Linked DNA regions of Neodiprion lecontei. The protein of the gene in region 2 interacts with the protein of the main gene of each other region in a pairwise test. Links are inferred from orthologs where the notes say so. Each region holds a gene or a part of one and is shown on either strand. Other genes may lie near its edges.

Region 1 (3,926 bases), on a different chromosome or scaffold from region 2:
GGTTTACTAAATTTCAAGTAATTTTAAAATTGTAAAATGACTACTGTTTCCAAATATCCAGCATTGCAATAATGTTACAAACTTCAGGCTGATCAAATCGAGGGGCGACTCTGGGTCATATCGGGAATGAAAAGTAAAACCGTGCAACGAGACAACACGTTTGTCGTGAAACATCGTCGCGAATTCCCGAGTCTTTATCATCATCGACGGACGGCTTGAGAGTTTATTTGTGATTTATTTTATACGTTTTCTTTGATAAAAATGTTTGCGCACATGTTCGCTGCATGTTCCCTGCATTAATCAAGAGGGGAAGAATATTGCAAACAGAAAACGACAGTCGACCGTTAAATGATTATAGTTTCTGTTTATACGTAGTGATAGTAACGGGGTAAAATGATGATTGGTAAAAATCTATCTCGAGTTTTAGGAACGATAAATCTAATAGGAAAAATTATTAATTTTCTAAATAGACATAAGTTCGAATATATTAAGGAATTGTGTAATATCGAGAGACAAAAATCATCTCGAAAGAATATCACAACAGGCTCATAAAATTTTTTATCGTCTATGTATGATTCAACTTCAAATGTATTTACGACAATTTCAAATATATGATTTCTGTCTTATGTTCTCTTGTTTTTAGTGATTACGAGCGATTTCACGAGGTTGAAGTTTAGTAACGTTATTATCGTAACGAAACATTGGGGAAAACATCGCAATTTTTTCATTTTACACCATTTTTAAGGGACCAAGATTTCAAAAAACGAGTGTGTTTCATTACGGTTTACTGAATTTCAGAAAATTGCAAAATCGCGACGTAACGTTTTTCTTTCCTCAGCACGAATCGTTACGATAACGTTGCCAACTTCAATTTGACGCGATTTCTGCTTTAGCCTGTGATTTTACGTTGATTTTCAACTCGTCAACTGATCTTGATCAATTTATAACATTACTCCTCTCATTTCTGCAATGATTTTCTGTGATTGTTTAACAATTCCCCGTTGTTCTACCTAACACAACGTATAAATCACTGAACATCACCAAGACGTTGTAAAATCATTCAGCAGAAATCGGTAGTAAAATTGTAAACACGAATTAGAAACCGTTTGCCGTAGTACAGAAATCAAGGAAAACCGCATAACAAGACAGAAATCATAGTGGAAAAAAATGACTCGAGATTGACGTTAAGCAAGCGGAAATCACCAAATCCGTTCGTTCGAAATCGAGATCAAAGAGTCTGATCCCGCGAATCTACGAAGCCATCGATAAAAATTGACGTCGAAAGAAGAAGAAAGAAAATCAGATAAGCCTAAGAAACGAAACTGTGTCGCATGTCAATGAAAAAATTTCGGGCATAAAATACACAGATCATTGAAGTTGGTACTCTGATTAATCGGGAGTGAAAAACAAAAGAAGTCCAGCGCAGTTCGCTGCCAGCTTCAGGGTGATCTCGCTCGGTAGTTCGCCGCTCGTGATCGTTAAAAATTTAGGGAGATCCGACAGGATCGGAACAACAACAACAACAACAACAAAATCAGCAGCAGTAATTCATCCAAAGTCGGAAAATGGCGCGAGGGTGTCCCGCCGGCGGGCGGCAATCAATAAGCCTCGAAATATCTCGCATTTCGAGGTCGCCACCGGCGCGGTAGCGAGAGGGAGGCGAGGAAAAGGCGGAAAAAAGAAAAGGGGGATATATAAAAAAAAAAAAAAAGAGACAGAGAGAGATAGAGAAGCTGTTTGAGGGAGGGGGGCAAAGACCCGGGCACTAGGCTGCGGACTCGAGAAGAGAAGAGGGCGAATATCGCTGGGTCTTCTCGCGGCGAGTTTCTCGACTTCCCGGGATCGATCGATCGGCGCTAATTCGCCCCGGACCTTTTCTCACCTGGGGAATGTTCGCGTTTATCTGTCGGTTGAGGGCGTCGCGCTCCTTCTCAACCTCCTGGAGACGAGCCTCGGCCTCCTGGAGTCGCTCTTGGCTCTCCCTGAGCGAGTCCATCAGCTTGTCGCGCTCGTCGAGCATCGACACCATCAGCTGTTCGAAGTTCGCATCCTCGCCCGAGAACTGGGAACTCCGCTGACTGATGCTGTCTTCCGATATCGTCGGCATCACGTCGCACATCATGTTCCACATTTTTTAGTCAACACGGACACGCACACAGTCGCACACACACAGACACCACCCACGGTACACACTTAACACCCACTGTCACGATCTAATCCCTTTCCGAAGTATCCGCCCTTCGCCCAAAAACCGCACATACACGCCCCCGTTTTTCGCCTGCCGAGGGTGAATATCCTCCGACGTTTTATCCCGCAGGACCGACTGCGAGCGTCCGTCTCTCTCTTTCTTTCTCTCTCTATGAATCCCGATCTCTTTATTACTCTCTGGTTCTCTCTCTCCCTCTCTCGCTCTCTCTCGCTTACAGTGTTCGTGTGTAATCACTCGATAACCAGGATACGAAATACTCCCCCCCGTATTATTATTGAAATGATGTATTAGCTCGACGCGGTGCCCGCGCCCCACGCCGACAACCGCTTGCAGCCGAACGCCGAAACCCACGTATCAATGCACCGGCATCTTAGCGACATTATAACTCGGACGAATAAACTAGACTCTCTTGACACACCTACAAATTCCTACCACCCAATGGCCTACACTACTCCATTTTCGACACCCGCGGCCATCTTGCTGTATGACGTCACACGTCAGATTTCACTCGCCCGGGAGCACAAGGATCGTAGATGCGCCGTCGGACTGTCGCGCCACGAGTGGCTGCTTTTCGAACTACTTATCGACTTGGCTACCTGAGCGCTGTTTGTACGCGGCCAACTTCACTTCACTCGGTTAAATCAGGCTGTATTCAAAAAGTATTCAAAATTTGATGATACGTTGATTTGTAGATATCGAATATGTGAGTATTTAGAACACACGCAGCATATTCGTTTGTTCGCGAGTAACTTCGGAAGATAGATTATGCAGGAATGACGGATATTGGGAATCATTGCACGCAACGACGACGGTTTTCGGTAGAAAAAAATGACCGCGAGTTGGTAAGAGAGCTTTTGAAGCGCGAAAGGCAAACCCGACCTTCAGTCGACGTTTTTTCTGGCTGTCCGCAGTCCAACATGGCTGACGATAGTGGTGGTTGGTTTCTGAGAAGATTAATAGATTATTTTGTTGTTTTTCATTCGGTAACAAGATGCATAGAATTTGTTTTATAGAAAAGTGCAAATATTATTATTTAGCGAGATGCCGGGATCACGTAAGGCGGCAAGGCGAAAGCTGACTTCGCATCAGTACAACAAGAAGAGCTTGGGAGGTTAGAATAATAATTCCAGTACTTTGTGGATGATGCAATATACACAGATCTTCCCGAGGATATTTTCCACCACCGAAAGCTTCCTCATCGAAATCCTTAGCCATTCTTAAAGAGAAAAAAATTGATATTTCAGACGTCACGCTGAACGACTTCGCCAATTCTCCATCGGGCAACCACGCGAGGCTTAAAAAAGCAACAACAAACGTCTCTAGTGAAGGTTAGTTTGAACATCTGTCAAAATATTGAATAACCGGCCAACTCACTCGACTTTCGTGACCTTGCCGTCGACTTTCTACCGCGTCTGAGTCTCAGGTTATCACGATTTTCGACGATTTCGTAGGAATTAGGCGATTCCCATTTTTCAACTATCTGTATTTTGCACTTCTCTAATTTCAGTTAAGCAGATAATGATCAAGGAGGAGGATAATCGTGCTTGGGATGAAAAACTCGACGAATTTGAGGGCGACTTTGAGTTTATCGAACAGGAAAATGAAGATGGTAAAAAGGGTGAGTCTAGTCTTCCGTCTGTGGCAGAGACAACTTTCCCCTACTAATGACAATTGTTTACTTTCAGAGGTCGTGATTTCTAAACAATCCAAGTCAACG
Region 2 (3,926 bases):
CAACAGTTGGAAACACGATTTAAGATCAATTTTTAAACGAAACTAGCAATCGGTTACCGACAAAAAATTATGGACGTTGTAATAAACGTAGAAGAGTATTTTGCTTGAATCCAAAAAGTGAAGAAAGGGACCTGCATCTATAGTTAACCTCATTTTCACTTGAAGTATTGCAAAACATGGTATAAGTTTTATTCTTTCAGACACATTTCAATCTCCGACATTGTCAATCTGTGGGGTGTGGAGAGCTTTTTTCCCTCACTACCCCAGCTCTCTCCATGGGATTTATTTTCATGCACGATTGCGTAGCAAAGTGCTATACAGATTTTTCCATCGTGCAAAAAAAGTTTTGTATCCACTTTAGCGCACTCGCTCAGGTATACGGCTTATACGTCTAGTATACCTGCGTATAAGCACGCGTATTTTAATTTCGGGTCTTAAAATGGAATAAACCACCGTACAGGTAAAGAATTTTCAGGAATACTATGCGAGGACGCAATTTACGAACGGTAATCCCGATAAACTGCATATTGCTTAGGTACACCAGCTGCGGTTAATCTCGAAACTCATTAAAACGAGCACATACAGAGAATGGGTAAAAAGAAATCAAAGAGCGAGCTGAATGTGAGATGCATTCTAAAAAAGAAAAATAAAAAAATCACTCATACCGCACGAGACAAAGGGATCGAAAAGCGAGACATCTCTTCTGGCATTGAAGTATTTATATGTATAACATGCAAGCCCGTGAGTTTTTGCGAATAAAAGTACAGAATTCTGGAGGGCCTTGACGGACGTGAAATTCTCGTATAAAATTCCCACTCGATGTAGAGCTGGTGGCCTTTGATAAATTAATAACTTCATCAGCCTCTGCATACAAGCCAAGTTTTCTCTCCGCAGCTTAGCTAATACGATTCCCGCGCTCACCTCGGAAGCTCAGCTCAGGTGTGCGTAGCGTCGGAAATGTATGTCGCGCAGTTTTAAAACGCGGGTGGATGCTGAAGAGATTTACAGTAAAAGTGGACGGTCGAATGTGACTCGTTTTGCCAGAAGCTCGTCAGTAAGACCGAACGTAGCTATATACAATCCTTCTCCGTATATTTCTCCCTCTCATTTTGCATTGCAGTGTGACATACGTTGAAAAACAACTCTTTCAACTGCGTTACGAGTTTCAGTTTTTGCACTTTGACTCAATAATCGATGTCATCTGCCTGCCTAATAACATTCCGTAAAATTGAACATTGGAAAACCTGACAATCGCCCTTCAAGTATAGCTACTTTATTCTTCACGTTTCGTGACGGGGAAAATTAAAAGAATTTCAAGTGATTGACTGCCTTTTAATTAAATTCACCGAGGGTGAGAACTTGCAAGTAGCCCTCAGGAATTCGGAGCATCTGCAGTCTCGGCCGTATTCGAATTTCCCGTTTAAATACGATCGGGTAAAACTGGGAGGCAGAAAAGTTTCATTGCATGCAGGGAGATCGCAGCGACTGTTGATGATCGGAGAATTATCGAGTGACGCGCAGCGATAACGAACCAAACCAGATCTATTGCATGTGCAATTGAAAGGGTGGATATCGAAGAGCTAACAGGCTCGTGTTTTGCGGGGCGTCGCGACGCTTCAGGTCGCACGGCGCCATCCAACCCAGGAATCAATGATTGTTATCCGGTGATAACTTTGTCACACATATCGAAACCAGCAACTTTTTGTTATACCACAAATTGGGAGAGGATCTATCCGCGACGAGATGAAATAACCCCTGTCGCATTTTGCGGGGGATATATTTTCAGCTCGTGTGTTTTACGTCGATGGATTTTTCACTTTTCTGTTAATTTGAAGAAAAGAATAAGTAAACACAGAATTCCGTATGTAAATGGAAGACGATGTGGTTTCGCATATTTACAGACATGGATAAACTTTCGGAGGTGAATTGTAAGGTTCGATTAATTGGTTCGACGTACGCTCTAAATAAGCTCATCAGTTACTGCGACAAAGCCTCTAAGCTGCAAATTCGCGGAGGTGTTGCGTCCTGATCGTATTGTATTGTAGCGGCGGTAAAAAATTGTGAAAAAAATTTCACCGAGCTATTAATGAGATCAATTCAAGACTCCCATTGTTCTGGCTAAGATTCAAAAGTACAATTACGCATGAATCGATGCATGACATGAACCGTACAAAGAAATAAAGAAGTCGCGTAAATACTGTCTGAAATACGAATTTAGAATTCGCGAAGATGAATAATGAATCGGCAATATAAAAACAACGCGCATCGCGCGTGAGTATGAGTGGGTGTAAATAAATAAACTGTCAAAGTGTTGACAGTACTTTGTATGCAAACTTCGCATGCATAGTTATTGATATGAAGTTGATTGATGCAGCGTGAGGAGCTGTGCAGCTGATAAAACGACACCGAAGAAATGACGATTGTGTTGGAAAACTTTGAATAATATGGAAATTATCATTATGCGAAAGTAACCTCTTGACTTACCAGATAGGCCGAAGAAGATCCGAAAACAGCTGAGGTCGAGCAGCCATACTATCAAGTGGTTCGAATTCCGGCGTTCCTTCGTTTCTGCGCGCGCGATCGATATCTATGAAGCGCCGATACGTTTTTGTCACGCGACGTAATTTTGTTCAAATATTGAGAAATACAGGAGTAATATTTACCAAACTAATTTGTCAAAAAGGTATATCATGTTGGTAACATCTGTAATCAGCCAACGGTTCGATTCTTGTACATTTTATACTAAAAGATGAGAATATCAAGTCATCTAACGTTGTAGGACAGGTGGAAGTTTTTTACGCAGAATTAATTTTTGAATAGAATATAATTTTATGTATAAAGTAATTTACACTGAATAAAATATCCGGAGTATTTCGATTGTGTAATAAAGTGAGATATTGATATTTAATTTCAAAGACAGTACTCAATCGTCTTGAGTCTCTAGTGACTTTCTAGAAACTATAAATGCTTGGGGCAGTACATCTAACATCCAGCTGCTTTCTTGAAGCGGTCATTGATATCATTCCAATTTGCAATGTCCCATATCGCCTTGACATACTCTGGTCTGACATTCTTGTACTGGAGATAATATGCGTGTTCCCAAACATCGATACCAAACAGTGGCACAAGTCCTGTTGTGGCTTGCAGAGGATCTTGATTAGCGCAGGCTGCAATCTGTAACCTTTTATCTTTAGCGTTGTACCCAAGCCAGCCCCAGCCAGAACCTTGAACGGCGACAGTGGCCTCCGAAAGTCGTTTCTTCAGTTCTTCCAGACTGGAGAAATCCTTTTCAATTTGCTTGAGGAGAGCACCTGAACAAAATGCATCAAGAAAATATACCTGGCATTGATTAGCACCCTCAGGAAAAAATTGGAATACCCATAATTGATAATCAACCATTTTTCTCGTCATACTTGAGAAAAATCAATAAAACATTGAGTCATAAATCCAACTGAGAATTTCAAATATAACTAACCATCTGGTTTCCCACCATTGGGCGACAAATTGTTCCAAAAGATGGAATGATTCAAATGTCCACCGCCATTGAACTTAATCGCAGGTGCCAATGCAATCTCAGTATTGACGTCACCCTTACTCACAGCTTCCTTCAATTTTTCCTCAGCAATGTTCAAATTGTTTACATACGTTGCATGATGTTTACTGTGATGAAGCTCCATGATTTCTGCACAGATGACTGGTTCCAGTGCCCTGTAGTCGTAGGGCAACTCAGGCAGAGTGTGCTTTTGCCTGGCAACATTCTTGGCGCTCCTTAAAAATTTTTAGAAATAGATATCATATAACCGTGAAGAATCGTTTATTTAGCAATGTAGATCAAAGTCGCTCCGATGAAATTCTCTATCGAGGATTATCTAACTGGTCTAGATACATGTCATTGTGAAAATTAACCAATAATCTTAGGTTAACAA

What was found.
Region 1: the proteins of kinesin-like protein unc-104 (region 2) and liprin-alpha-1 interact in binary tests that used the Caenorhabditis elegans proteins (3 or more experiments, as listed by UniProt). The link is inferred for Neodiprion lecontei from reciprocal best matches to the Caenorhabditis elegans genes unc-104 and syd-2.

The regions. Positions count from the first base shown.
Region 1 is NC_060262.1:1,948,846-1,952,771, reverse strand, and holds the start of liprin-alpha-1, read right to left. Parts: upstream 2,793-3,926; 5' UTR 2,132-2,792; coding exon 1,883-2,131; intron 1-1,882. Other genes in the region: transmembrane protein 183, read left to right, coding at 3,251-3,320, 3,454-3,537, 3,717-3,827, 3,895-3,926. UniProt on the Caenorhabditis elegans protein: May play a role in regulating the structure of the neuronal region, called the active zone, from which synaptic vesicles send neurotransmitter signals across the synapse. This may be in association with the liprin-beta protein hlb-1.
Region 2 is NC_060260.1:31,939,317-31,943,242, forward strand, and holds the start of kinesin-like protein unc-104, read right to left. Parts: upstream 2,556-3,926; 5' UTR 2,485-2,555; intron 1-2,484. Other genes in the region: superoxide dismutase [Mn], mitochondrial, read right to left, coding at 2,983-3,311, 3,476-3,768. UniProt on the Caenorhabditis elegans protein: Motor protein involved in microtubule-associated anterograde transport. Regulates the transport of synaptic vesicle precursors in the axon of DA motor neurons. Regulates the polarized sorting of axonal proteins.